Linked DNA regions of Macaca fascicularis. The main gene of each other region encodes a partner of the protein of the gene in region 4 in a complex. Links are inferred from orthologs where the notes say so. Each region holds a gene or a part of one and is shown on either strand. Other genes may lie near its edges. The genes, in order: SF3B2, SF3B3, SF3A3, HTATSF1, SF3A1, SF3A2 and SF3B4.

Region 1 (3,500 bases), on a different chromosome or scaffold from region 4:
AGTTGGCTCAGCAGCAGGCGGCATTGCTGATGCAGCAGGAGGAACGTGCCAAGCAGGTAGGGCAGGTGGAAGCCCTGGCCTGGGCCTCATTAGGTCCCTGAAGGGGCAGTGGAGCCTTAAGAGAAAGCTGGGTCCTAGAACTAAGGCTTCTGGGAAGGTGGGGACTAAATATTGGAACATGGGCCCTTGACTGGAAGAGGATCTCAAGAAGCAAGAGTTGTGGCAGATTGGCCCGTTGGGTATTGGTGCTGGTATGAACTTGTTTTCTTTTTTAAGCAGGGAGATCATTCGCTGAAGGAACATGAGCTCTTGGAGCAGCAGAAGCGGGTAATACCCCTCCCCCTAACCTTTGACCTCATGGTCCAATCCATTGGCTGTCATTTGTATTGCTTCGAATGCACCAATCAAGTTTTGTTCCCAACTAAGTACTAGTGTCTTCCAAAGCATTCAATTTTTCTTGAAGTTCAGGAATTGACAGACTATGACCTGTGGCCTGTATGTGCATGGCCTGTGAGCTAAAAACAACTTTAAAATTTTTTAAGGATTATAAGAAAACCCAAACAAAAATATGTACCAGAGTCCATATGGTAATCCATAAAGCCTAAAGTATTTACCTTCCGACCTATTCAAAAAGAGCATGCTGACTTCTGCTCGCCTTACATGACATCATTCTAGATAGGACTCTGGGTAATTGAGTTATTTGTATTGGATTTAGACAAAATAGGACTGTAAGTCTGGGAATGTTATATAAGATATTTGGCCCCAGAGGTGCGTTGCATTAGTCATTACGCAGTGGATTACTCAGGAGTATTAAAAACTGAGCATTAAAAGCAACAAGTATGAGCTGGGCGTGGTGGCTCACACCTGTAATCCTAGCACTTTGGGAGGCTGAGGTGGGCAGATTGCTTGAGCTCAGGAGTTCGAGACCAGCCTGGCCAACATGATGAAACCCTGTCTCTATCAGAAATACAAAAATTAGCCAGGTGTGGTGGCGCGTGCCTGTAGTCTTGCTACTTGGAAGGCTGAGGTGGGAGGATGGCTTGAGCTGGGGAGGCAGAGGTTGCAGTGAGCTGAGATCATGCCACTGTACTCCAGCCTAGGCAACAGAGCCAGACCTTGTCTCAAAAAAAAAAAAAACAAAAAACCACAAGTCTCAACCTGTGGATAAAGTACTGTCTTTGCCCAGATTGTGCTGGATCTTGAGGGGTAGATATAAGAAAAGAGCTCAAAAGTTTCTAATGTATCTTTTGGGGAAGAAAACTCTCTGAAAAGTAGAAGGCACTGTTTGGCTCAATATGAAATTCCCTGCTTGGAACCAGAAGTTTCCTGGGGTTTTCCTTGGTGTTATTTCTAGGGATTTTCCGTTGTGATGAGAGGGCTCCTCCATTTGGATTAGTAGCCTGGAAGTGTGGGGGTGGAGGGGATGTCAGCACCCAAGGGGTTTGTGATTGTTCTCCTTGGGCCCATTACCCGCTGAAAGAATGCATTTGCCAGGGGCTGCCTGCCAAACTAGTTTTCAGGCAGTGTCTACTCCCACTTCCCTCCCGTAGGCAGCTGTGTTATTGGAGCAGGAACGACAGCAGGAGATTGCCAAGATGGGCACCCCAGTCCCTCGGCCCCCACAAGACATGGGCCAGATTGGTGTGCGCACTCCTCTGGGTCCTCGAGGTGAGACCCTGGGATGGAGGGGAAGAGCAAGAAAAGTGATTTAGACATTTTTAAAAAGACTTTTAAAGTATCTATCCCATTTAAAAAGAGCATATATAATAAACATACAGTTTAATGGTTTTTTACACACTGAACACACCCGTACAACCAGCACCTGGACCATGATCAGCACCCCGAAAGCCCCGCCACACGCCCCCCTCCCCGCAGGTTCACCATCGCCCTTTTAGCAAGGGAGGGAATTTTGTATGTGAGTGTTTTGTCTCTTCTGACATTGGATTTCTTTTTCCCGTCTCTCAGTAGCTGCTCCAGTGGGCCCAGTGGGCCCCACTCCTACAGTTTTGCCCATGGGAGCCCCTGTTCCCCGGCCTCGTGGTCCCCCACCGCCCCCTGGAGATGAGAACAGAGAGGTGAGACTAACGATTTCCTCCTAGGTATAAGAGAGTGGTAGTTTAGGAGGGGACTATTTTTGGATTTTTAGAGAAGGGTTCTGTGAGAAGATGGGGGGACTTAAATTCCTGGGGGTAGTGGGGAGCCGTACTTATTTAAACTAAGGGTACAGCAGAGGGATTGGGGAGACATTACTGAGGCAGAGTCTTGGGGTCCCTCTGAGGAACACTGAACCTCACTGAGCCCAGTTGGTGTTGCCCACTCTCTGCTGCTTACATCACCTGGGCAGCAGCCTTTCTAGTCCAAGAGGTAGAAGCTGGTGGGAAAAGGGCACTGTGATTCGCCTTCTCTGACCGGTTGTCTCTGGCAGATGGATGACCCCTCTGTGGGCCCCAAGATCCCACAGGCTTTGGAGAAGATCCTGCAGCTGAAGGAGAGCCGCCAGGAAGAGATGAACTCTCAACAGGGTGAGTGCCAGGCGTCCTGAGGCTGTAGCCACAGAACCTGGAGAGGCTGAGCTGAGTCCTCGTCCCTCTGTCCCTTTCCCTTGCCTCTTGGTAAAGGCAGGTTACTGTGAATGAGTGCAGGGCGCAGTGGCACCATGAAGACTCGTTACCACCTTCTTCCTTACAGAGGAAGAGGAAATGGAAACAGATGCTCGCTCATCCCTGGGCCAGTCAGCGTCAGAGACTGAGGAGGACACAGTGTCCGTATCTAAAAAGGAGGTAGGGGTTGGAGCTGAGTCTGGAAGGAAAGGCAGGAGATGGGACTTGGGTACGGAAATAACACAGTTTATAAGTGTTCAGTAAGTAATAGCTTCTGTTTTGTGCCAATTTCCACCCTCAGCATCTTACAGATATTTTTCATTTAATTGCTTTTGAGTTTCAAGTACTATGCATGCCTACATTTTACAGCTGAAAAAGCTGAGGTTCTGAGACGCACAGTAATTTACCCAAAGGCACACAGCTTGTGAGTGGCAGAACTTTGGAGTCTGCCTCCAAGGCCCCTTCGCAGCCACTTCATGAGATGGCCTCCGAAAAGCCTGACCGTTGAGCTGTGGGGGAGACCGGGGGAGGAGTTTAGGGGTTGGGGTGCTGGCACAGTACTTGGATTCCCTGACCCAGCTGGTTTTCCTCCTCCTGACAGAAAAACCGTAAGCGCAGGAACCGAAAGAAGAAGAAAAAGCCCCAGCGGGTGCGAGGGGTGTCCTCTGAGAGCTCTGGGGACCGGGAGAAAGACTCAACCCGATCCCGTGGCTCTGACTCCCCAGCAGCTGATGTTGAGATTGAGTATGTGACTGAAGAACCTGAAATTTACGAGCCCAACTTTATCTTCTTTAAGAGGATCTTTGAGGCTTTTAAGGTACAAGGAGAGCGTGCTCGGAAGGGGCAGTGCCAAACAGGGAAGGGGCTCAGAGGTGGGTGCGAGGCAGCAGTGAACAGGCA
Region 2 (3,500 bases), on a different chromosome or scaffold from region 4:
CTGAGGTGATTTTTATTCACAAAGGCATCCACTTTATTTTATGAAGCACAGTCACTACAGATACCATATATGTTCAGGTAATTGCAGTGTTCACAACAAATTTGGGATTGGGCGCTTTATTATCATTAGAGTGATTAAAAAAAAATCTTGACAATCGTTTGTGTTTCATTGGTGAGAACTAGAATTGCCATGAATTGTGGTAGGGTGTTGCCAAATGGGAAGGCCCTTCCCGGATCTCTCTGTCTGCAGTGCAGTTTTCTAGATTAGGAGGCTGTTGTTTAATGTTGCCTAATGCCAGCGTTAGAGCTTCAGGGATTGATGTGTTTACTGACTGCTCAAAGCCTATTTCACCACCAATTTCTAGGTCCTGAGTGAGTATTAAGTAACTGCCTTGCTTTTCTGTCATAGCATTTTGGCATTAGAGAAGCTCGGTGCTGTCTTCAATCAAGTAGCCTTCCCACTGCAGTACACACCCAGGAAATTTGTCATCCACCCTGAGAGTAACAACCTTATTATCATTGAAACGGACCACAATGCCTACACTGAGGCCACAAAAGCTCAGAGAAAGCAGCAGATGGCAGAGGTAATGAGACTAACGTTCAGGGGTTCTGTTAAAAGATTTGTGAAATTATGTTGAAAAGTTTAAACTGCTCAGCACTTTTGGAGGCTGAGATGGGAGGATTGCTAGTTTGAGACCGGCCTGGGCAACATAGCAAAACCGCACCTCTATTAAAAATTTTGAAAGATAGCCTGGTGTGTTGGTGCACTCCTGGTATGTTGGCACACTCCACTGCATACCAGTGGCACTCTGGACATGAGACTCTGTCAAAAGTTTAAACTCCTGTAATTGTTGTTATATTCTTTGTTTTTAAAGATCTAGGCTCTTTTCAGCTTCTTTAAGCAGAGGCCTTTGCCCCAAAATACTTCATGTTAGAGCCTTTCTTGTAACCCAGGACTATACTCTGACCTCCATTTATTCACAATTAAGTTCCCTCTCTGAAACAGAATTCTCCAGTCTTTGAGCTTCCAAAATAGACTGTATTTCCTGGATTTGGGCCCAAAGGAGACAGCTTTCATGTTCTCCACAATACCAGCTCTTTCTAGAACTCATTGCCTAGCAAAAACCAAATAGCTAAACCACATAGAACTGTATCCAGCCTTAAAGAGTGGAGACAGAGTAGTCTTAGTAGGGGAAATCAGATGGGTTGGATTAAAAAATGGAGTTTCTGGCCGGGCGCGGTGGCTCAAGCCTGTAATCCCAGCACTTTGGGAGGCCGAGATGGGCGGATCACGAGGTCAAGAGATCGAGACCATCCTGGCTAACACGGGTGAAAACCCATCTCTACTAAAAAATACAAAAAAAAACCTATCTGGGTGAGGTGGCGGGCACCTGTAGTCCCAGCTACACGGGAGGCTGAGGCAGGAGAATGGCGTGAACCCGGGAGGCGGAGCTTGCAGTGAGCTGAGATCCGGCCACTGCACTCCAGCCTGGGCAACAGAGCGAGACTCCTTCTCAAAAAAAAAAAAAAAGAAAAAACCCCTTGGAGTGTTCTTGCTACCTATCCTCTTCTCAGCCAGCCCCTACCTCTGAACATGCCAACTCAGTTGTTTGGTTTTTTGGGTTTAGGAAATGGTGGAAGCAGCAGGGGAGGATGAGCGGGAGCTGGCCGCAGAGATGGCAGCAGCATTCCTCAATGAAAACCTCCCTGAATCTATCTTTGGAGCTCCCAAGGCTGGCAATGGGCAGTGGGCCTCTGTGATCCGAGTGATGAATCCCATTCAGGGGAACACACTGGACCTTGTCCAGCTGGAACAGAATGAGGCAGCTTTTAGGTAAGGAGCCCAGGACAGTTCAGGGTTTGGTAGCCTGGAACAGGAGCTCTCTGGGTTTTGACGAAGGCCTTACTCTTGCCTCTTACTCTGTGTGTAGTGTGGCTGTGTGCAGGTTCTCCAACACTGGTGAAGACTGGTATGTGCTGGTGGGTGTGGCCAAGGACCTGATACTGAACCCCCGATCTGTGGCAGGGGGCTTCGTCTATACTTACAAGCTTGTGAACAATGGGGAAAAACTGGAGTTTTTGCACAAGGTAGGAATCAGCCAGTGAGTGGTTCTCCTAGATCTTAAGTCCTATTGAATTCTCTTACTTTTGCTTATGTTATGGGTCAGGTCTTTTGGGGACCAGCTCCTTGATTCCAATCCATCTCTTACCAGCACATGGAAAATCCTGGGGCCTTCTAGCTGCGGTGATGCTCTTGTGCCTGTGCATTCCACAGTAAGGCTTTGTGCTAACCACCCATAATGGGGAGATGGATGCACATTGAATCAGTCCCTTTCTTACTGTTTTAATAAGTGGGCAACAATTTGTGACCAAAATTCAGCAGTTTAAATAATTAATATTCTGGCTGTGTGCGGTGGCTCACACCTGTAATCCCAGCACTTTGGGACCCGCCCGACCAACATGATGAAAGCCCGTCTCTACTAAAAATATAAAAATCAGCCAGGCATGGTGGCATGTACCTGTTATCCCATCTACTTGGGAGGCTGAGGCAGGAGAATCACTTGAACCCGGGAGGCGGAGGTTGCAGTGAGCTGAGATTGTACCATTGCACTCTAGCCTGGTTGGCACAGTGAGACTGTCAAAAAAAAAAAAAAAAAAGATTTAGTGTTCTTTTCCATCTGCCTTCTCTGGGAAGTTACTGTTTAATGGGTACAGAGTTTCAGTTTGGGAAGATGAAAAAAAAGCTGGAGATGATAGTTACACAACAGTAAATGTGCTTAATGCCACTGAAGTGTATACTTAAAAATGACTGGGCATGGTGACTCATTCCTGTAATCCCAGCACTTTGGAAGGCCGAGGTGGGCGGATCACCTGAGGTCAGGGGTTCAAGACCAGTCTGGTCAATGTGGTGAAATCCCATCTCTATTAAAAATAAAAAATCAGCCAGGCATGGTGGTGGGCGCCTGTAACCCCAGCTACTCCAGAGGTTAAGGCAGGAGAATTGCTTGAACCTGGGAGGCAGAGGTTGTACTGTGCTGAGATTGCGCCACTGCACTCCAGCCTGGGCGACAGAGTGAGACTCTGTCTCAAAAAAAAAAGGATTAAGATGGTAAACTTTATGTTATGTCTGTTTTACCATAATTATTAAAATAAAAATAATATTCTCCTCCACACTGACAGCATGTGGATTCCTTCAACCCTACCATAAGGGGAGTATCCTCTAAGAAATACTTCATAGACCCTTTTGCGTATAAAATTTGTCTCTCCTTTACAACTGAGATGTCACTAGGCTGGGTGCAGTGGCTCACGCTTGTAATCCCAGCATTTTGGGAGTCTGAGTCGAGCAGATCACTTGAGCCCAAGAGTTTGAGACCAGCCTGGACAATGTGGTGAAACTCAGTTTCTACAGAAAATACAGATAATTAGTTGGGCGTGATGGCACATGCCTGTAGTCCCAGCTACTCGGGAGGCTGAGGTGGGAGGATCACCTGAGCCCAGGAA
Region 3 (3,500 bases), on a different chromosome or scaffold from region 4:
AGACCATCTGGCTAACACGGTGAAACCCCATCTCTACTAAAAATACAAAAAAATTAGCCGGGCGTGGTGGCGGGCGCCTGTAGTCCTAGCTACTTGGAAGACTGAGGCAGGAGAATGGCGTGCACCTGGGAGGCGGAGCTTGCAGTGAGCCGAGATTGTGCCACTGCATTCCAGCCTGGGCAACAGAGCGAGACTCCGTCTCAAAAAAAAAAAAAAAAAAAATTAGCCGGGCGTGGTGGCGCATGCCTGTAATCCCAGCTACTCGGGAGGCTGAGGCAGGAAAATCACTTGAACCCGGGAGGTTGTGGTGAGCTGAGATTGTGCCGTTGCACTCCAGCCTGGGCAAGAAGAACGAAAGTCCGTTTCACAAAAAAAAAGCATTAAAAAGATAGCATTACTAGAATTATAAGTACTATATATTCTACAGGGAATAACAAGATAGCAAAAATAGAAACCCTTTTTGCTTTCTCTGCATTGTATGTTCCTCTGTAGATACCTAGAGATGCTGCTCGAGTACCTTCAGGACTACACAGATAGAGTGAAGCCTCTCCAAGATCAGAATGAACTTTTTGGGAAGATTCAGGCTGAGTTTGAGAAGAAATGGGAGAATGGAACCTTTCCTGGATGGCCGGTGAGCTTCAGTGGGGTGTGAATGATGGACATGCCAAGGAATTGAAGTAATTATTTTCCTTTATCTTGAGCTTCCACTTTAGGGCATTAGGTATCAATTCCTTGGTATCACTTGTGACAATGAGGTATTCCCTGCCAAGTATGCTATGTTTTTTTGTTTGTTTGTTTTTCTTTTTCTTTTTTTTGGAGATGGAGTTTCGCTCTTGTTGCCCAGGCTGGAGTACAATGGCAGGATCTCGGCTCACCTCAACCTCCACCTCCTGCGTCAAGCAATTCTCCTGCCTCAGCCTCTCGAGTAGCTGGTATTACAGGCACCCGCTACCACACCCAGCTAATTTTGTGTTTTTAGTGGAGACGGGGTTTCTCCATGTTTGTCAGACTGGTCTCAAACTCCTGAGCTCAGGTGATCTGCCCACTTCAGCCTCCCAAAGTGCTGGGATTACAGGCATGAGCCACCGCACCCGGCCGTATGTGAGGTTTTTTTGTGTGTACTTTGGAGCAAGACTGTCAGGGTCCACTTGCCTTTGACTGTGCCCAGATTTTCACCAATCACATCATTACTGTTACGTGGTTCCTGCCAACCAAGAGCCTATCAGATCATATGTTAGGAATCTACATTCTCACTTCTGGGGATAAACATGGGTTTTTCCTGAACTCTCCAGGGAGAGAATGTGGACCAACCTTACCTTCATCCTAAACCTGGTGGTTTGTTTGTTTGTTTTGTTTTGCTTTGTTTTGTTTTTTGGGAGACAAAGTCTCCATCTGGCTTCTAGTCTGGAGTGTAGTGGCATGATCATACCTCACTGCTGCAGCCTCAACTTCCTGGGCTTAAGAGATCTTCCTGCCTTGGACTCCTGAGTAGCTGGGACCACAGGCACATGCCACCATGCCCAGCTAATTCATGTGTTTTTTTTGTAGAGATGGGATTTCACCATGTTGCTCTGACTGGTCTCTAACTCTTGAACTCAAGCAATTCACCCATCTAGACCTCCCAAAGTGCTGAGATTACAGGTGTGAGCCACCACGCCTGGCCTAAACCTGGATCTTAATAAATACCATATTGTTCTTTCCAGAAAGAGACAAGCAGTGCACGCCTGGCCTAAACCTGGATCTTAATAAATACCATATTGTTCTTTCCAGAAAGAGACAAGCAGTGCTCTGACCCATGCTGGAGCCCATCTTGACCTCTCTGCATTCTCCTCCTGGGAGGTATGTTTCCTTCAGCAGTAGTACTGTTCTTCCTGTCTATTTTTCTATCTTTAAAGACTGCTCTGCTGTCTTTAATACCATGGTTGTGTTGTGATAAGGCACTATTTCTTGGGATCAAGCATCTACAAAGAAAGTAGCAAAGTAAAAAGAAAAAAATTACTACATGGGAAACTGAAATAATCATTCTAACTACATTAAGCTGTAGTAAAGTAAATGGAACACTACCAGTATGGTTAAGTCTGAAGATAATTACAGATTCAGTCCTCTGGAGAGTTTAGACTTACTGTCAGATTGGCTATGAAATGTGTGGTCCTGCCACAGCCTCAGGAACACCCACCCTCTGGCCTGCATTTGGGGTTTCCCAAAAATCTGTTAATGTAATATTGTAATTTTTCTCTTCTTTGTACAGGAGTTGGCCTCTCTGGGTTTGGACAGATTGAAATCTGCTCTCTTAGCTTTAGGCTTGAAATGTGGCGGGTAAGGAATGGTTTTTCTATCAAAACTATTCAATTTGCTGTGTGTTTGCACAGTCTTCTAAGTAGCTCTAATTCCATTTTTTTTCTGTTGCTCCACACTGCAAAAACAAGCGAGCCTCTGTGGTAAAGTAACCCTGAAATCCTTTGCCATCCTGTCTCCTTAGGACCCTAGAAGAGCGAGCCCAGAGACTCTTCAGCACCAAAGGAAAGTCCCTGGAGTCACTTGATACCTCTTTGTTTGCCAAAAATCCCAAGTCAAAGGGCACCAAGCGGTGAGTGGCTGGGGTAGCACTGCTGCTTGTGGCTTTTAAATGTTATTCCCATGCCGAATTTTTAACCACAGTGGAGACTTTAAAGCCTGCTTTATCCCCGTTATTGGTCGACAGAGATCCAGTCTGCTCTTTCTCTTTGCTAATAGAGAATACTATCACTGTTAATATAAACAAAGGACTGTCTGTATTCATCTGATTGAGAGCACATCAAGTTTCTAAGTTTGAAACCGTGTTCTTGGCACCTTTAATAGGTTATAGAGGCTAAAAGGCTAAATAGGTTCAAGAACTATTTTTCTAAGCTTATTTTTGGTAAAGTTGAATCTAATTCTTGAGCTACATACTTAGACAAGGTATTTTCTTTTTTTTTTTTTTTTTTTTTTGAGACAGAGTCTCACTCTGTCGCCCAGGCTGGAGTGCAGTGGCCGGATCTCAGCTCACTGCAAGCTCCGCCTCCCGGGTTTACGCCATTCTCGTGCCTCAGCCTCCCGAGTAGCTGGGACTACAGGCGCCCGCCACCTCGCCCGGCTAGTTTTTTGTATTTTTTAGTAGAGATGGGGTTTCACCGTGTTCGCCAGGATGGTCTCGATCTCCTGACCTCGTGATCCACCCGTCTCGGCCTCCCAAAGTGCTGGGATTACAGGCTTGAGCCACCGCGCCCGGCCTAGACAAGGTATTTTCTTTTTTTTTTTTTTTTTTTTTGAGACAGAGTCTCACTCTGTCACCCAAACTGGAGTGCAGTGGTGCAATCTCAGCTTACTGGCTGGAACCTCCACCTCCTGGGTTCAAAGGATTTTCCTGCCTCAGCCTCCTGAGTAGCTGGGACTACAGGTACACACCACCACATATGGCTGATTTTTTGTATTGTTAGTAGAGATGGGGGTTCATCATGTTGGCCAGGCTGGTCTGCAGCTCC
Region 4 (4,120 bases):
ATTGTTATCGTTGAAACCATAGATTCACACAGCTGGTACGTGGGGAGCCAGGATTTTCTAGAAGTAGTACTCAACTGCTATGTTTAGAAGTGAAGGTCACTGGAATAGTGAAATAATTTCTTCTGGGAAGGTTTTCCCCACCCTCAAGCCTGGGTTGTGATATTTATGGTTACACTAATGAGTTCCTTATTATTTTAAATGAATTAATATTTTTTAACGGCCGCTTTAATTTTTGTGCAGAAATATTGGTAAGTATAATCCACAAACGTTTTTTGGGGTCTTCAATGTTTTCGTGTAAAGAGGACCTGGGACCAAAAAGTTTGAGAACTGCTGTCCTCCAGCATCTCATATCTGTCATTTGCCAACCATCCTAATTCTGTCTCCCCTGAGCTGTGCCTGTCTTGTCGACTCCTGGGTCGCCAGAGCCTCGTGCAGAACCCTGCACTTAGTAGGGGCTGGATAAATACCTGCCCAACTTAAAAATATGGACCTTTTCATTTTCAGCAATGAGTGTAATTCCTGAAAACAAAGTTCTGTTTAGAACAAAAGTATGCTGTGTCTTTCTAAAACAATGACAAAGAAGCGGAGTTTGCCGGCCAGTAAAGCTGGTGTTTACACTGGGATGTTTACATTTATGTCTAAGTTTCAAGTTCGCAGCTCGAGCGCCACTGAATCCTGCAGTACAAGAGGCAGGCAACTGCAGCCCCTCCCATCCTTCCCATGGAGTCAAACTCCAGCCAGAGGAAGGTATGAGACCGATAAAGGAGAAGGCTGACACCAGAAAAAAAAAAGTTGGCCCTTTTACCCCTCATTCGTTCATTCATTCGCTCATTCCGCATTAGACACCAGAGCCGGTGCCAGGAGCTTAGGTCACCAAGAAGAACAATATCCGGTGTCCATCCCAGGGAGTCGGAAAGAAACAAGTAAAAGACACGGTTCCTGCGCGGGGGAGGGGCCTTTGGGCGAAGGAGGCGCGTCGTTTTCTCGAAGCCAGAGATATTTGTCCTGCCCGCCCCACCCACTCCCCCAAGATGGCGTCCTCGCGACACCCGCCCGGCCACCTCCGCGAGGGAATATTCCCACGCCTTCCTTCCGTCTCCCTCCCGGGCCGGCCGATTCGCCGGGAACCCCGCGGACCTCAAGGCCCTTGAGGCGTCAGGGGATCCCAGTGGCCCTCGCCCCGCCCCAAGGCCGAACCCGGTGGGCGTCGACGCCCGGCAGTAGCGCTCCCCCCTCTCCGGCGCCCCGCCTCCCCGGGTCTCGCGCCGCGTGCCGGCGTCGGCGCCTTTTGACGCCACAGTGGGCGTGTCGGCGCGACCCGCGACGTCGCGACGCGCCGACAATGGCGGCTGCGTTGGCCTGAGCAGGGCTTAGTTTACAAGTAATATCCTGACGTTGCCGAGGGAGCCGCAGTCGCCTTAGACCCGGTCGGCGGCGGCGGCGGCGGCGGCGGCGGCGCGCCTGCGCGCTCCCGCAGCGCCCTGGACCTAGCGGCGGTGCCGAGGCCCAGCGGAGCAAGCCAGGTGGGCGGCGGCGCGGCCGAGCTCCCAGCATCAGCGCGCGCGCGCGGTGGGCGGGCAGAGCAGGGGGCGGTGCGGCAGCCGAGCGGCCCCGATTTCCCGGGGACTGCTGGGGCGCCGCGGGGAGGCGGGCCGGGGGGCGGCGGGGCGCGAGCAGAGCGCGATTGACCTCCCTTTTTCTGCTCAGCTCCAGCGTCATTTCGGCCTCTTAGTTCTTCTGAACCCTTCTCCTGAGCTGAGTAGGAAACATGAGCGGCAGCAACTTGGATGGGAACGATGAGTTTGATGAGCAGTTGCGAATGCAAGAATTGTACGGAGACGGCAAGGATGGTGACACCCAGACCGATGCCGGCGGAGAAACCGATTCTCTCGGGCAGCAGCCGACGGACACCCCCTACGAGTGGGACCTGGACAAGAAGGCTTGGTTCCCCAAGGTAGGAGAGTGCCACGGGCGCCACTGCAGAGCGGGTCGCCTGGCCAGCCTCGCGGAGCACTCCTCTTACGTTTGCTTTGCTGAGATCCTTGGTCCTTGGTCCTAGCCCCCTTGGATAGCGGCGCTTCTTTTTGTTGTGTTTGTCGGGGCACCGATGTGTGAAGGAACGTAAATCTTTAGGGTGGTGTCTTAAATGTAATTTTTAAGTTTTTTCTATGCTTTATTAATCTTGTCTGTGAAGGTCACAGTTGGTAATTACATTGATGACTGCTTTTTATTGCGAAGAGGAAAAACACCAAGAGCAAATTTAGTAGCTGTCCATTTCTGGTAGCCGACCCCACTTGTCCTAGGAACTCAGATGTTTAGCTTATGTACTATGTGCAAAATGCAGTTTCTTGATTTTTTTAAAGTAGCTGTTTACATATCTTTACTAATTGAACTTTCTTTGCACCTTGCTTTACTTTCCTAGCAAATTTTGTCCCTAAGCATATATGTTTGAACCATATAACCACAGGAATAAGACTGGAGACGCACAGAATACAGATGGAAAATATCTGTGTATATTTGTTTGGAGTACTTGGAAATTGCTAAGTATTTTTATTTCAGCTTCGAAGTAAAATAAGTAATGTTAAACTTGGTTCTGTAAACTTTGTGGTAAAAGTGCCCTTTTAATCTGGCTCTCATGAGCAGGAAAGGGCACACTAGTAGCACGCAAATTGACTTGCAAGCCAATAATACAAAACCTGTCTCCATTGCGCGACTGGACGGCTGTTTTAAAAATTCTTTTGCAACTTTTCTTTCCCATTCTGTATTTGTATACATATTCCAATGCCTCCAGATTGTTAAAATTTACGATTTCACTTCTGTATTGGTAGTACTAGTTTTGAGTGCAGATTTGGTTTCTTCAGCATTCTGAATACTTTTAACAAAGGTGTGATAATGGATTAATGTGTGACTTTATCTTTTTATGTTATTGAAGCCCATACCTCTTCAAACTTTGGGTTTTACATTTTCCCCATTCCATGCGTGCCTAATGTTGATTGGTATGATGGTATAACTATATTTCTTTAGTTTTGCAATAACGCTTTTCCCCCAAAGGGGAGGAAGATAGATATGAGTTGGATTTGTCTTTAATTTGTTCTGTTACTAAAAGATAACGTCTTAATTTGTGATAAAGTTAAAATGAGCATTTAGTTTTACAGTTGTTAACTCCATTCTTTATATACCAAGTCAGAGTTCTGTTCTACGTGCTCTCTGCATACAGATATTTAAGTACTTATTGTACACGTATATTTGTGCATGTGTACAGTAAGAGAAAAGTGGATTCTGTGGTTAGATTATTCATTGACTGTTGGTTTTTATTGTTTTATTATCTGGTACTTCCTTTGTTGTATGTATTTGTAGCCTTAGTTAAGTAGACTGTAGAGAGGTAGTAATTTATAAATGAAACAACTAGAAAAGGTGCCAGCATCACTTAAAATGCTTTAAATCATATCTCAGACATTTGCATTGATCGTCTAAGTACTCGTGTCTTATTTTTTATCACCGCATGCACAATTTTCTATATAAGATGACTATTGCATTTATACTCTAATAACTACAACTATTATCCACAGAAACACTTCTGTTTTAAGTTGTGTAACCATGCTGTAAAAACAATTTAAACTTCTTATGGGTGGAAATAATTTTGAATTTCTCTGTCTGGGTCTGCTGAATTGCTTGTTTAGATCACTGAAGATTTCATTGCTACATATCAGGCCAATTATGGCTTCTCTAATGATGGCGCATCTAGTTCTACCGCAAATGTTGAAGATGTCCATGCTAGAACTGCAGAGGAACCTCCACAAGAAAAAGCCTCAGAACCCACTGATCCCAGAAAGAAGGGAGAAAAAAGAAAGGCTGAGTCAGGTAAGTGGTTCTGGCTTACAAATTTTAAGTGTAAAAATTAAAAATATGGGTGTGCATATGTACAGTTGCTTTTCCGAGAATTATAATAGCTTTGAAGGAATAAGGTGAGTTTTTTCTTAAAGGTGGTGTCAGAGTTATAAAGAATCAAGATAAACTGGCCATCATTTTTCCCAGATAGGGCTCTAAAACTAATTATTTGTCAAAAGATTTAAATCCTTTGAAAGCTGGGTAGTGATTTGAGTTAGTTTATCTTGGTCTT
Region 5 (4,047 bases), on a different chromosome or scaffold from region 4:
GGCTTTCCGGAGTTGAGGAGGGGAGGAAGGGGGTGGGGATCTCAGGAGAGGGAGAGAAAGCCGGCAGGAGTCGAGGTAGGCCTCTGGGGAGCGAGCTGCATAGCTTGCAGGGGCGCACCTGTGAGAGTGAGGGGTGAAGCCTAAAGCAGCAGCCCTGAGTGATGGCTCATGCGTGTAACCCCAGCACTTTGGGAGGCCAGGTGGGAGGATTGCTTGACTCCATGAGTTTGAGACCAGCCTGGGCAACATAGGGAGACGTCCTCCCACGTCCCTACAAAAAAAATTTTAAAACTGGCCGGGCGCGGTGGCTCACGCCTGTAACCCTAACACTTTGGGAAGCCGAGGCGGGAGGATCATTTGAGGTCAGGAGTTCGAGACCAGCCTGGCCAACGTGGTGAAACCCCGTCTCTACAAAACACACACACACACACACACACACACACACGGCCGGATGTGGTGGGCGCCTGCAGTCCCAGCCACTCGGGAGGCTGAGGCAGGACAATTGCTTGAACTCAGCGATTGAACTCGGGAGGCGGAGGTTTCAGTGAGCCAAGATCGCGCCACTGCACTCCAGCCTGGGTGACAGAACAAGACCTTGTCTCAGAAAAAAACAAAAAAGAAAGAAAAAGCAGCAGCCTTGATTTGAGAGGGAGGCCCCAGTGAGGCTTGAGATCAGGACTACGGAAGGCAGGGGGTGGAAGCAAGAAAAGGCAGGCCTATGGGAAAAGGGAATTAAGGGCGTAGGATTTGGAAGAGCGGCTTGGAGGATGTGGGCCTGAAATGAAAGGGGGGACTAAGGGAATAGGGAAGCGGGGCTCTGAGGCGGCGAGCCTTAGGGCACAGGGGCTCTCCGAAATGAGAGGCCAATGGGAGGGAGCTGGGCTCTTGGAAGGCGGTGTCGAAGGGAGCGAGGCACTGGCACTGAGCGAGGCACTGTAGAGTAAAGGAGGCGCGAGCTGAGTGCGGCGGGGGTCCGGCGGGTGACGTAGAACATCTCACCTGTCTTCGGCGTCGCGGTTTCAGCCTCTGTATCCGGTCAGCTCCGGGAACTGCCCCCGGCGCGCCTGCGGCTCCCGGGAACCCCGGAAACCCCTAGCCCGGAGCTCCAGCCGCTGCCTTGACAACGGCGTCGGATGCCGCGGTGCCCGCGGGGAGGAGCAGGAAGCGCGCCACGGCGAGGGGGCGGTCCCGGAAGTGCGTCAGTCTTACCTTCGCGGCCACAACTCGCTCGGCTGCCGCCATTTTGCGAGCTCGTCGTACTGTTCGAGCGGGGAGGCTGTCTTGAGGCGGCACTCCTCACCAACACCGAGGCGGACTGGCAGCCCTCAGCGTCGCAGTCATGCCGGCCGGACCCGTGCAGGCGGTGCCCCCGCCGCCGCCCGTGGCCACTGAGCCCAAACAGGTACCTCTCCCCCGCCCCTCAACCTGCAGCCGGAGCGTGGGCCTGGGCGCTACTTACTTGAGCGGGAATAAGCGGCCGCTATGAAGGGCTTGGAGGGACTGCAAATCCCAGGAGGCTGCGCGCTTCCCGCGCTATGGTGGTGGTTCTGGTAACGAAACCAGCTGCTCTGAACGGGGTTCTCAAAGTGGTCCGCGGAGCAGCCGCGTCGGCACGAGCCGAGAGCTTAGAAATGTGGAGTCTCCGCCCTAGACCTTTTAAATAGGGATCTTACATTTGAACAAAATCCTAAGGTGATTGATTTGTAAGTGTGAGAGGCGCTGATCCAGCCCATCCTCTGATCTTCTGTGGCAGTTGGGGCCACCGGCCCCAGCCTTTCCCCAGTAATGCCCACTTTCCCAGCCTGGGCGGTACATCTTTGGATGTTAATTCTCAGCATCTATTTCGGTGTCTGCCCCAAGCCAGACACCGTGCCACGCTCCCACGTTACCGGAATGAATAGGGCACGGGGAGCTCACAGGCTAACGAGAAGACAGATACACGAGAATGCTCACCAAATGTTTATTGTTCCGATGGCCGTCAATGATACAGTGTCAGCCCGCCCTTAATAAACCTCTCGAATCTCAAATGTGTATAAACCATTGTAGTACGGTGTGATATGCCCTGTGATAGAAGTTTCAGGTACAAATCTAGTCAACATTGCTTGCTGGAGTAGAAGGGATATTAAGGTAGGGAAGCCCACGGGAGTGAGAGGTAAATTTCTTTTAGAAGAAGGAATGGGAGTTTGCCAGGCAGGTGACTAGGGAAGGGAAATAACATCCTTTATTCATCCAGCAAATATTTATTGAGCATATATGCTGATCATTGCTTTGGGTTTGGAATGAGGGGGACATGACTGAAGAAGCCATGCCTTTTCCACAGATATTTAAGTACCTGTGTGTCCCTGGCATTTTCCCAGGCGTTGGGAGAAAATAAGGTAATGGCCAGATAATATGCACAAAGACACTGAGTTAAGAATCAAACGGTGTCTCTGATCAAGAGTAAATGAACAAGTGTTGAAGCATAGAGCGTGGTGACAGGAGATGCAATTCTTTCTTAGGATTTGAACGTTTCCTTGTAGACAATGGGAAGAAAAGGGAGAGTTTTAAGCCAAATAGTGACATTTGTGTTTCAGAAATTCAGGTAGGCAGGCATGTGGAGAGTCACTACGAGGAGGGGAGGCCAGTCACGCTATTCCAAGGGGCTGAAGGCCTGGCCTAGATTAGGGCAGAGGGGTGGGCAGGCTTTCCAGCCAGAGTGGTGTGTTAGAATTCTGGTTCTGCCAGTTGGACATTAAGCTCTCCATCTCTCAGTTTTGTCATCTGTAATGTGGAGATATTAAGAGTACTTGGCCGGCCCAGTGGCTCACGCGTGTAATTCCAGCACTTTAGGAGGCCGAGGCAGACAGATCACTTGAGGTCAGGAGTTTGAGACCAGCCTGGCCAACATGGCAAAACCCTGTCTCTACTAAAAGTAAAAAAAAATTAGCCAGGTGTGGTGCATGTTTGTAATCCCCACTATTCGGGAGAGAATTACTTGAACCTGGGAAGCGGAGGTTGCAGTGAGCCAAGATCATGCCACTGCACTCCAGCCTGGGCGACAGCAAGACAGAGTCTCAAAAAAAAAAAAAAAAGAGTACTTAATCTTATAGGCTTCTTATAAGAGTTATAAGAATTAGTATATTTAAAGTGCTTGGGAAAAATACCTGGAATCTACTCAGTGCTTGATAAAAGTTTTTTTTAAGAGACCGGGTGTCGTTCTGTCACCCAGGCTGGAATGCAAGTGTTGCAGTCGTAGCTTACTGAAGCCTTGAATTCCTGGGCTCAAGCAATCCTCCTACCTCAGCCTCCTGACTCACCGGGATTATAGGTGCAAGCCATTGTGCCCAACTTGATCAATGTTATTATTATTGAGTGTGGAAGCTGAGGAAGAGAGAGGAGCCCCAACTTTGTGGCATGGACGACTGAGTAGCTATTCCTGAGGAAAGAGGTTAGAGATGAAAGTGCCCAGTAGTTAGCTGGACCCGAAGCTGTTCAGTACGCAAGAGTGTTCTGGGACATCAGTTTGGGCCAGATTGTATAGAGGCAGGAGGGGAAGTGGAGGACACTGTCAAAACTGAGAAGAGAACCAAGAACAGAATTGGGCGGTGGGAGCGGGGATCTCCAACTTCACAGAGCAGGAGGTGAAACAGACCAGGAAGGAAACTTGGATGGAATGGTGAGCAAGATGGGAAGACAGGTAAGAATGGGGTCTAGGAGTTGAGAGTTTTCATGAAGGAGTGGTCACCATTCACACCCAGATAATGGCTGTGGGCAGTCGTTTTTGACTTTGTCAAGAGCACTTAAAATGAATGGGGACCAAATGGGAGGCAGGGAAGTGGGATCAGCAAACTGAAGAGAACTCAGGATGTTAAGCTGCCAGAGGATGGGGCGGGAGAAGGCAGCGGCAGAAAGGAACATGGAGGCAGAGGAGAAACTTCATTTTTCTAAGATAAGAGATTTGACCCTTTGTTTACTAAGGGGAAGAAGCTGCTGGAGAAAAAATATTGGTACTTATGGCATAGTTAATGCTGAACATTCCAGTGGAATTTCACAAAACACCTGAGCATT
Region 6 (2,181 bases), on a different chromosome or scaffold from region 4:
GCCCTATGAGACCATCGCCTTCAAGGTAGCATGGCTGCGGGGTCCCCTGGGCCCCAGGGCCCCCTGAGATGTGCGAGCCAGAAGGATCTGCACAGGCTGGGCAGGGCGCCCCTCCTATCAGGCTGTGGGGTCCCCTGGGATCCCCGAGACGGAGCCAGAAGGGTCTGTGCAGGCTGGGCAGGGTACCCCTCCCATTGGGCTTTGCAGGAGGGGGCCTGCTTGGGCTCCACTGTGCCCATGGAGAAGGGAGGCCGGCAGGGCTGAGCGCTGGGCCTGTGAGGCCTTCGCCAAGTGACCTCGCTTCTTGGTCTAGGCTGCTGGAGGGCTTCCCACAGCCTGTGCCTACGCCTGGACAAAGCAGCCATCAGGAAACAATACAAACGGTGCCTGTCCAGGGCGGGGGCTAGCGTGTGCTAGCGTGGAGGCCGGGTCTGTGTCACTCCAGAACTGAACCCTGTGCCCATCGAAAGTCTTACCAGGCCGGGGCCTTCTCTTGGGCTCCCAGGGTGGAGTCCGGGCCGGGGAGGCTAACGCCTCAGGCTCCCTGCCTGATGGCTACCCTGAGGTCACAGGGACCAGGAGCCCTCTCTGTCCCCCGCCTTCCCAGGTGCCGAGCAGAGAGATTGACAAGGCGGAGGGCAAGTTCTGGACACACTGGAACCGGGAGACCAAGCAGGTGAGTGGCTAGCCCTGAGCTTGGCTCCTTCCTGCCCAGCCCCGGTGGCCCTAGCCCTGCCCGTGCCTGCTGAACCTTTCTCCGTCTCTCTAGTTCTTCCTCCAGTTCCACTTTAAGATGGAGAAGCCCCCGGCTCCGCCCAGCCTCCCCGCCGGCCCCCCTGGGGTGAAGCGGCCTCCACCTCCGCTGATGAATGGTCTGCCCCCTCGGCCACCGCTGCCCGAGTCTTTGCCACCGCCACCGCCGGGAGGCCTACCTCTGCCACCCATGCCCCCCACGGGGCCTGCACCCTCAGGGCCCCCGGGACCACCCCAGCTACCCCCGCCAGCTCCAGGGGTCCACCCCCCGGCCCCAGTGGTGCATCCCCCCACCTCTGGCGTCCATCCCCCAGCTCCTGGGGTCCATCCCCCAGCTCCTGGCGTCCATCCCCCAGCCCCTGGGGTCCACCCACCAACCTCTGGGGTCCACCCCCCGGCTCCCGGAGTCCACCCTCCAGCCCCCGGGGTTCACCCTCCAGCCCCCGGGGTTCACCCACCAGCCCCTGGAGTCCACCCACCAGCCCCTGGGGTTCACCCACCAGCCCCGGGGGTCCATCCTCCCCCATCAGCGGGGGTTCACCCCCAGGCCCCAGGGGTACACCCAGCAGCCCCTGCTGTTCACCCTCAGGCCCCGGGGGTGCACCCACCAGCCCCAGGGATGCACTCTCAGGCCCCGGGAGTCCACCCCCAACCTCCCGGGGTCCATCCATCAGCTCCTGGGGTCCACCCTCAGCCTCCTGGAGTTCACCCCTCAAATCCTGGGGTACACCCCCCAACTCCCATGCCCCCAATGCTGAGGCCCCCACTCCCCTCCGAAGGCCCAGGGAACATACCTCCCCCTCCCCCAACCAACTGAGAAGCTGCTCCCTCCCCCAGCAAGCTCAGCGCCAGGTGCTCCTGCCTTTTGCCATCGAGAGAAGGCTGCTCTTTTGTACCGCCCCCTGCTCATTAAACAGCCTTCCCCAGCCCCGAGTGCACTGATGTCTGCAGCGCCGCCCTCCCTTGTCAGTGCTGTGTGGGAGTGCCAGGCACAGCACCATCCCTGAGTTTGCGCCGACTGGGGAGGGCCTGGGGCCTGCCGGGAGACACCTGTGGGAGGCCTGAGAGACAGCTGTACCTTGGAGGTGGCCTGGTGGAGGACAGACTCCACCAGCCAGCTAGGAGGGGGTCTGGGGTCCTGTCCTGGGGAGGGAAGAGCAGACTCTTGTGATATCCTTGGGGTCTCCAGATAGCCTACCAGGGGTTGGGAGGGTGAGCAGGGACAGGGCGCCCCCACTGACTTGGGACCCTCCTCCTCCAGGCCCACCCCTTAGCACCCAGGACATCTGGGCCCCCCGCCCCCAGCGCTGTCTAGTCTGGCTGCTTGGCCATCACTCCCAGCCTGGTTCCCACTCCTGTGCCTTCTGGGGACGGGCCCTCAAGGACAGCATGTTGACAAATCAGGCCCAGCTCTATCGCTGTGGGGAG
Region 7 (4,190 bases), on a different chromosome or scaffold from region 4:
GAAAAGAGATCCACATACCATTCTCAATCCCACTGAAATTGTGGGCATTCTCAAAGGCAGGGCAGAGGGGGATCTGGGGTAGAGGACGGTTCTGTCTAATCCTTTTTTTTTTTTTTTTTTTGTTTCTGGACTTGCAGCCTCAGCTTTCACACTCCAGCCCTTAAGTTCACTAAGAAGGTCTGAGTTTCTGCTGCAGATGGTGGTGTTAACTGCTGCAACTCTTGTCCTGTCTTGCTTAGTTCCTACGGATATTTTTGTTTCTTGTCATTTGAAAGATTAAGAAACAAAAACAATCCAGAAATTGATCGGTTTTTTTAGACCAATTCCATCCCTTCTGGATAACCAGATGTTAAATCGTGAGATCAGAGATGCTGTTCATCAGTCCCAACAAGATGGCCTAGAGATCGCATTCTCACCTCGCCTTGCTGCTGCTTTAATTCCAACTTCTATTTCTTCCCTTATAGTTTTCTATGGGAATGAGGCGGATACAGGAAACACCCTGTCTCCTGTGTATTTTTGTAGCGGAATTTTCTATTTAAGGGGCTCATTAAAGCATAGTATTTATACACATTACTGGCATTGTTTCTTGTGTTTGAATAAAGGATTCTCCTAGGTAGGAAAGTGGTGGGTAAAAGGTGGGTATGATCCAAGAGAGGAAAGCATCTACTGTATTATTGCTAAGGAAATAGGGGAACTGGATTTGGTGAGACTCTGCAGAATTCAAGTGCAGTTTGGGGAAAGGATTCTGTGTGTGTCTCCCATTTAGAGGCAGATGGGGCCAGATTGTTCTAGAGATCCAGACTGAAGTCTCTGAGCTCCGATCCTATCCACCCCTCACCTGTGGTCACACACCACCTTGGAGCTGCCCTCACCCTCCCCATGCAATTACGACGAGATGAGCGCAGACGTCACTCCAGCTCAGACATTTCGCAGTCTCCTCCCCTGAGGGAAAACCAAATACCTCCAGCCCAAATCAGGGCTGTTGAGGCCAAATCTGCAAGAAGGTTGCAGGCGAGATGGAGGGTTCCCTCTGCGCCTGAAAGCAGCCAAGTCCTCGGGTTGGGGGGACTCTTCAGCACATCCTTCTCTGGACAACAAAACATCATCACTGGCTACAAAATACATGAAAACTGAAGTTTTTGTTCTTTTAGCTTTCGAATTTACATTTTTGGGAGCAGTGTGATTCTTTCAAGTCTAGCAGTGCATTAAGACGGTCTGAGCCACTAGCAGCGGCACCTCTGCGCGAGTGCCGAGGACTCCACCGCTCAACCCGAGTTAAGTCTTGGAGGATCCTAAAATGGCTGCAGCCGCTTCCAGGCCCCTCCTCTTCCGCGGCTCCGCCCACCGCTACGTCCTCCTTCGCCCCGGAAGTGGAAGTCGTGCTGAGGTCAGAAGGCGGAACCGCTGCTGGGAGACGGCGGGAGCTCTTTCGCCATGGCTGCCGGGCCGATCTCCGAGCGGAACCAGGGTAACTGGAGGGGGAAAGTCTGGAATGGGCTCAGCGTGGCTAGGAGGCCCCTACTACAGCCAGAAGTGCCTCTGCAGGGGTGGGAGACTGGACTCATCCATTCCCCAGAGGGCGCGAGACCGGCCCCGTGCCTCCTGGGGGCGGGGTGGCCAGGTGCTGGCTGAGGCCTGTGTGTGTGATACTTACGTCCAATCCCCTGCTGAGTTCTCACTCAAAAAAACAAAAAAATCCACTCAGAATACTAAATTAGACTTCAGAGGATTCCTGAAGTCCTGGAGAGAGAAGTTTAAGGGTTTAACTTTTTTTTTTTGCTCCTGTCCCCTACCCGCGTCCCCAGTTCCCCCGGTTGGGTTCCATCTTCATGTTTCCATCACCTCCTTCTTTCATGTTATACTCTCACCCTTGCTCTAACTTTCTGCTCCCTCCCTTCAGATGCCACTGTGTACGTGGGGGGCCTGGATGAGAAGGTTAGTGAACCACTGCTGTGGGAACTGTTTCTCCAGGCTGGACCAGTAGTCAACACCCACATGCCAAAGGATAGAGTCACTGGCCAGCACCAAGGTGAGTACATGACAAGGGGCAGTTTGCTTCCGGAGGGTCCCGGCAGTATTCACAACTGTTTTGGAATAACATGAGCAACCTAAAGTATTTCTTTCTTTTAAGCCTCTGTTCAGTTTATTTCTGGAACCATTCTTAAGTGAGATTGTTTCTTTCTTGTTCTTTGTGATTAGAGGGTAGATGAGTTTTACCCCATTTTCAATCTCTTATGTTGTTAACCTCCTCTTCTCCACTTCTCCAGGCTATGGCTTTGTGGAATTCTTGAGTGAGGAAGATGCTGACTATGCCATTAAGATCATGAACATGATCAAACTCTATGGGAAGCCAATACGGGTGAACAAGGCATCAGCCCACAACAAAAACCTGGATGTAGGGGCCAACATTTTCATTGGGAACCTGGACCCTGAGATTGATGAGAAGTTGCTTTATGATACTTTCAGCGCTTTTGGGGTCATCTTACAAACCCCCAAGATTATGCGGGACCCTGACACAGGCAACTCCAAAGGTTATGCCTTTATTAATTTTGCTTCATTTGATGCTTCGGATGCAGCAATTGAAGCCATGAATGGGCAGTACCTCTGTAACCGCCCTATCACCGTATCTTATGCCTTCAAGAAGGACTCCAAGGGTGAGCGCCATGGCTCAGCAGCCGAACGACTTCTGGCAGCTCAGAACCCGCTCTCCCAGGCTGACCGCCCTCATCAGCTGTTTGCAGATGCACCTCCTCCACCCTCTGCCCCCAATCCTGTGGTATCATCATTGGGGTCTGGGCTTCCTCCACCAGGTAAAGCTTTTGGTTAAAATTTGTTTGTCTTAAGGTTGGGGGAGAGAGTCAGGAGGAAGAAAAAAAGAGCCTGAAAGGGGGATGGGACATGGAGTCAGTGAGTGATGGGAAGAGGACTGAGGGGTGATGGTAGTGGTGGAGAAGAAAGTTGTTGGGTTTCTTTAGGAGGGTGAAGTTGGTTGACTTTTCTAACATTGCTTTTGATTTTAGAGCACTGGGAGGAGGGGGAAAGAGCTCACCCTGCCCAGAGAGGCCAGATCAGGACAGGCTCTTTAAAGACATTTTCTCCTCACTACCATTAACTTTTCCTTTTTCCATTTCCTCTATAGGCATGCCTCCTCCTGGCTCCTTCCCACCCCCAGTGCCACCTCCTGGAGCCCTCCCACCTGGGATACCCCCAGCCATGCCCCCACCACCTATGCCTCCTGGAGCTGCAGGACATGGCCCCCCATCGGCAGGAACCCCAGGGGCAGGACATCCTGGTCATGGACACTCACATCCTCACCCATTCCCACCAGGTGGGATGCCCCATCCAGGTAGGTGTGCTTTGTTGGGAGGGAAGAGCTTGGTAGAGCATCTCTGTTACCTCTCACCCTGCTGCCCTTTGTTCCTCAACAGTAACAGTTTCAGAGTTTCCTTTCCTTCAGACATTCTATTATAAAAACATACAAAATACTCTCTAACATCCACCTCCCTGTATCCATTTCTTAAGTTTTTCTGACAAGAAGACTATACTTGCTGGTTTTTATTTCTTTAACCTTTAGTTCCATTCTCTTCTCTGACTCCAGCTCAAAGTGGTGACCTAATTGCCAAATCTCAGGGACACGTCTGCTCCTTATCTAGTTTGACCTCTGATGTACTTGAAACTAGTCGTGTCCTCCTGTTTGAAATTCTCGTCTCTTTTTGCTTTTGCTTTTCTAGATCCTCCACCCCTCTGACTCCTTAATCTCAGCTACCATGATAGACTCTTGTCTACTTGTGCCTAGATTTTTGTGCTTGTTTCTCTTTTCTGCATATATCTATAGTTTTAATTGGGCATATACTGATGCCTCCTAGATCTGTATCTCTAGTCCATAGCTGTTGACATTCCGGATCCTTAATGCTTTAATGCTGCTGCTTAATAGATAGCGTCATTTTTCTGTCCCTCTCCTTCAAACCCATTCTTTCTCTAGCAGTCTTTTTTTTCAGGTGCTTAATTCATGAATCTGAGAGTGATGTTTGACTGCTCCCTATCACCCCACTCTTAATACCAAGTCTTATTTAATATCAGTGGCATCTCTCCCCATGGCCAGTGCCCTAGTTCAGTCTCTCATTCCCTCATTATTTAACACTTAATTTATTGTAGTAATCTCCTTCCACTTGGACTCCAGTTTTCCCTAA

Evidence for each region.
Region 1: HTATSF1 (region 4) and SF3B2 share a complex: the UniProt entries of both Homo sapiens proteins name them as parts of the 17S U2 SnRNP complex. The link is inferred for Macaca fascicularis from reciprocal best matches to the Homo sapiens genes HTATSF1 and SF3B2.
Region 2: HTATSF1 (region 4) and SF3B3 share a complex: the UniProt entries of both Homo sapiens proteins name them as parts of the 17S U2 SnRNP complex. The link is inferred for Macaca fascicularis from reciprocal best matches to the Homo sapiens genes HTATSF1 and SF3B3.
Region 3: HTATSF1 (region 4) and SF3A3 share a complex: the UniProt entries of both Homo sapiens proteins name them as parts of the 17S U2 SnRNP complex. The link is inferred for Macaca fascicularis from reciprocal best matches to the Homo sapiens genes HTATSF1 and SF3A3.
Region 5: HTATSF1 (region 4) and SF3A1 share a complex: the UniProt entries of both Homo sapiens proteins name them as parts of the 17S U2 SnRNP complex. The link is inferred for Macaca fascicularis from reciprocal best matches to the Homo sapiens genes HTATSF1 and SF3A1.
Region 6: HTATSF1 (region 4) and SF3A2 share a complex: the UniProt entries of both Homo sapiens proteins name them as parts of the 17S U2 SnRNP complex. The link is inferred for Macaca fascicularis from reciprocal best matches to the Homo sapiens genes HTATSF1 and SF3A2.
Region 7: HTATSF1 (region 4) and SF3B4 share a complex: the UniProt entries of both Homo sapiens proteins name them as parts of the 17S U2 SnRNP complex. The link is inferred for Macaca fascicularis from reciprocal best matches to the Homo sapiens genes HTATSF1 and SF3B4.

Annotation. Positions count from the first base shown.
Region 1 is NC_088388.1:8,334,892-8,338,391, reverse strand, and holds part of SF3B2 (splicing factor 3B subunit 2), read left to right. Parts: coding exon 1-56; intron 57-276; coding exon 277-327; intron 328-1,550; coding exon 1,551-1,668; intron 1,669-1,965; coding exon 1,966-2,075; intron 2,076-2,425; coding exon 2,426-2,522; intron 2,523-2,688; coding exon 2,689-2,780; intron 2,781-3,201; coding exon 3,202-3,417; intron 3,418-3,500. UniProt on the Homo sapiens protein: Component of the 17S U2 SnRNP complex of the spliceosome, a large ribonucleoprotein complex that removes introns from transcribed pre-mRNAs.
Region 2 is NC_088394.1:69,774,367-69,777,866, reverse strand, and holds part of SF3B3 (splicing factor 3B subunit 3), read left to right. Parts: intron 1-408; coding exon 409-583; intron 584-1,627; coding exon 1,628-1,833; intron 1,834-1,930; coding exon 1,931-2,087; intron 2,088-3,500. UniProt on the Homo sapiens protein: Component of the 17S U2 SnRNP complex of the spliceosome, a large ribonucleoprotein complex that removes introns from transcribed pre-mRNAs.
Region 3 is NC_088375.1:196,936,349-196,939,848, forward strand, and holds part of SF3A3 (splicing factor 3A subunit 3), read left to right. Parts: intron 1-492; coding exon 493-631; intron 632-1,770; coding exon 1,771-1,839; intron 1,840-2,248; coding exon 2,249-2,316; intron 2,317-2,479; coding exon 2,480-2,587; intron 2,588-3,500. UniProt on the Homo sapiens protein: Component of the 17S U2 SnRNP complex of the spliceosome, a large ribonucleoprotein complex that removes introns from transcribed pre-mRNAs.
Region 4 is NC_088395.1:142,629,745-142,633,864, forward strand, and holds the start of HTATSF1 (17S U2 SnRNP complex component HTATSF1), read left to right. Parts: upstream 1-1,320; 5' UTR 1,321-1,523; intron 1,524-1,707; 5' UTR 1,708-1,768; coding exon 1,769-1,954; intron 1,955-3,680; coding exon 3,681-3,861; intron 3,862-4,120. UniProt on the Homo sapiens protein: Component of the 17S U2 SnRNP complex of the spliceosome, a large ribonucleoprotein complex that removes introns from transcribed pre-mRNAs.
Region 5 is NC_088384.1:21,310,762-21,314,808, forward strand, and holds the start of SF3A1 (splicing factor 3A subunit 1), read left to right. Parts: upstream 1-1,247; 5' UTR 1,248-1,339; coding exon 1,340-1,402; exon of another isoform or gene 1,403-1,484; intron 1,485-4,047. UniProt on the Homo sapiens protein: Component of the 17S U2 SnRNP complex of the spliceosome, a large ribonucleoprotein complex that removes introns from transcribed pre-mRNAs.
Region 6 is NC_088393.1:2,906,510-2,908,690, forward strand, and holds the end of SF3A2 (splicing factor 3A subunit 2), read left to right. Parts: coding exon 1-25; intron 26-607; coding exon 608-676; intron 677-769; coding exon 770-1,570; 3' UTR 1,571-1,681; downstream 1,682-2,181. UniProt on the Homo sapiens protein: Component of the 17S U2 SnRNP complex of the spliceosome, a large ribonucleoprotein complex that removes introns from transcribed pre-mRNAs.
Region 7 is NC_088375.1:111,352,029-111,356,218, forward strand, and holds the start of SF3B4 (splicing factor 3B subunit 4), read left to right. Parts: upstream 1-1,390; 5' UTR 1,391-1,434; coding exon 1,435-1,468; intron 1,469-1,900; coding exon 1,901-2,029; intron 2,030-2,267; coding exon 2,268-2,810; intron 2,811-3,139; coding exon 3,140-3,346; intron 3,347-4,190. Other genes in the region: MTMR11 (myotubularin-related protein 11), read left to right, coding at 1-82. UniProt on the Homo sapiens protein: Component of the 17S U2 SnRNP complex of the spliceosome, a large ribonucleoprotein complex that removes introns from transcribed pre-mRNAs.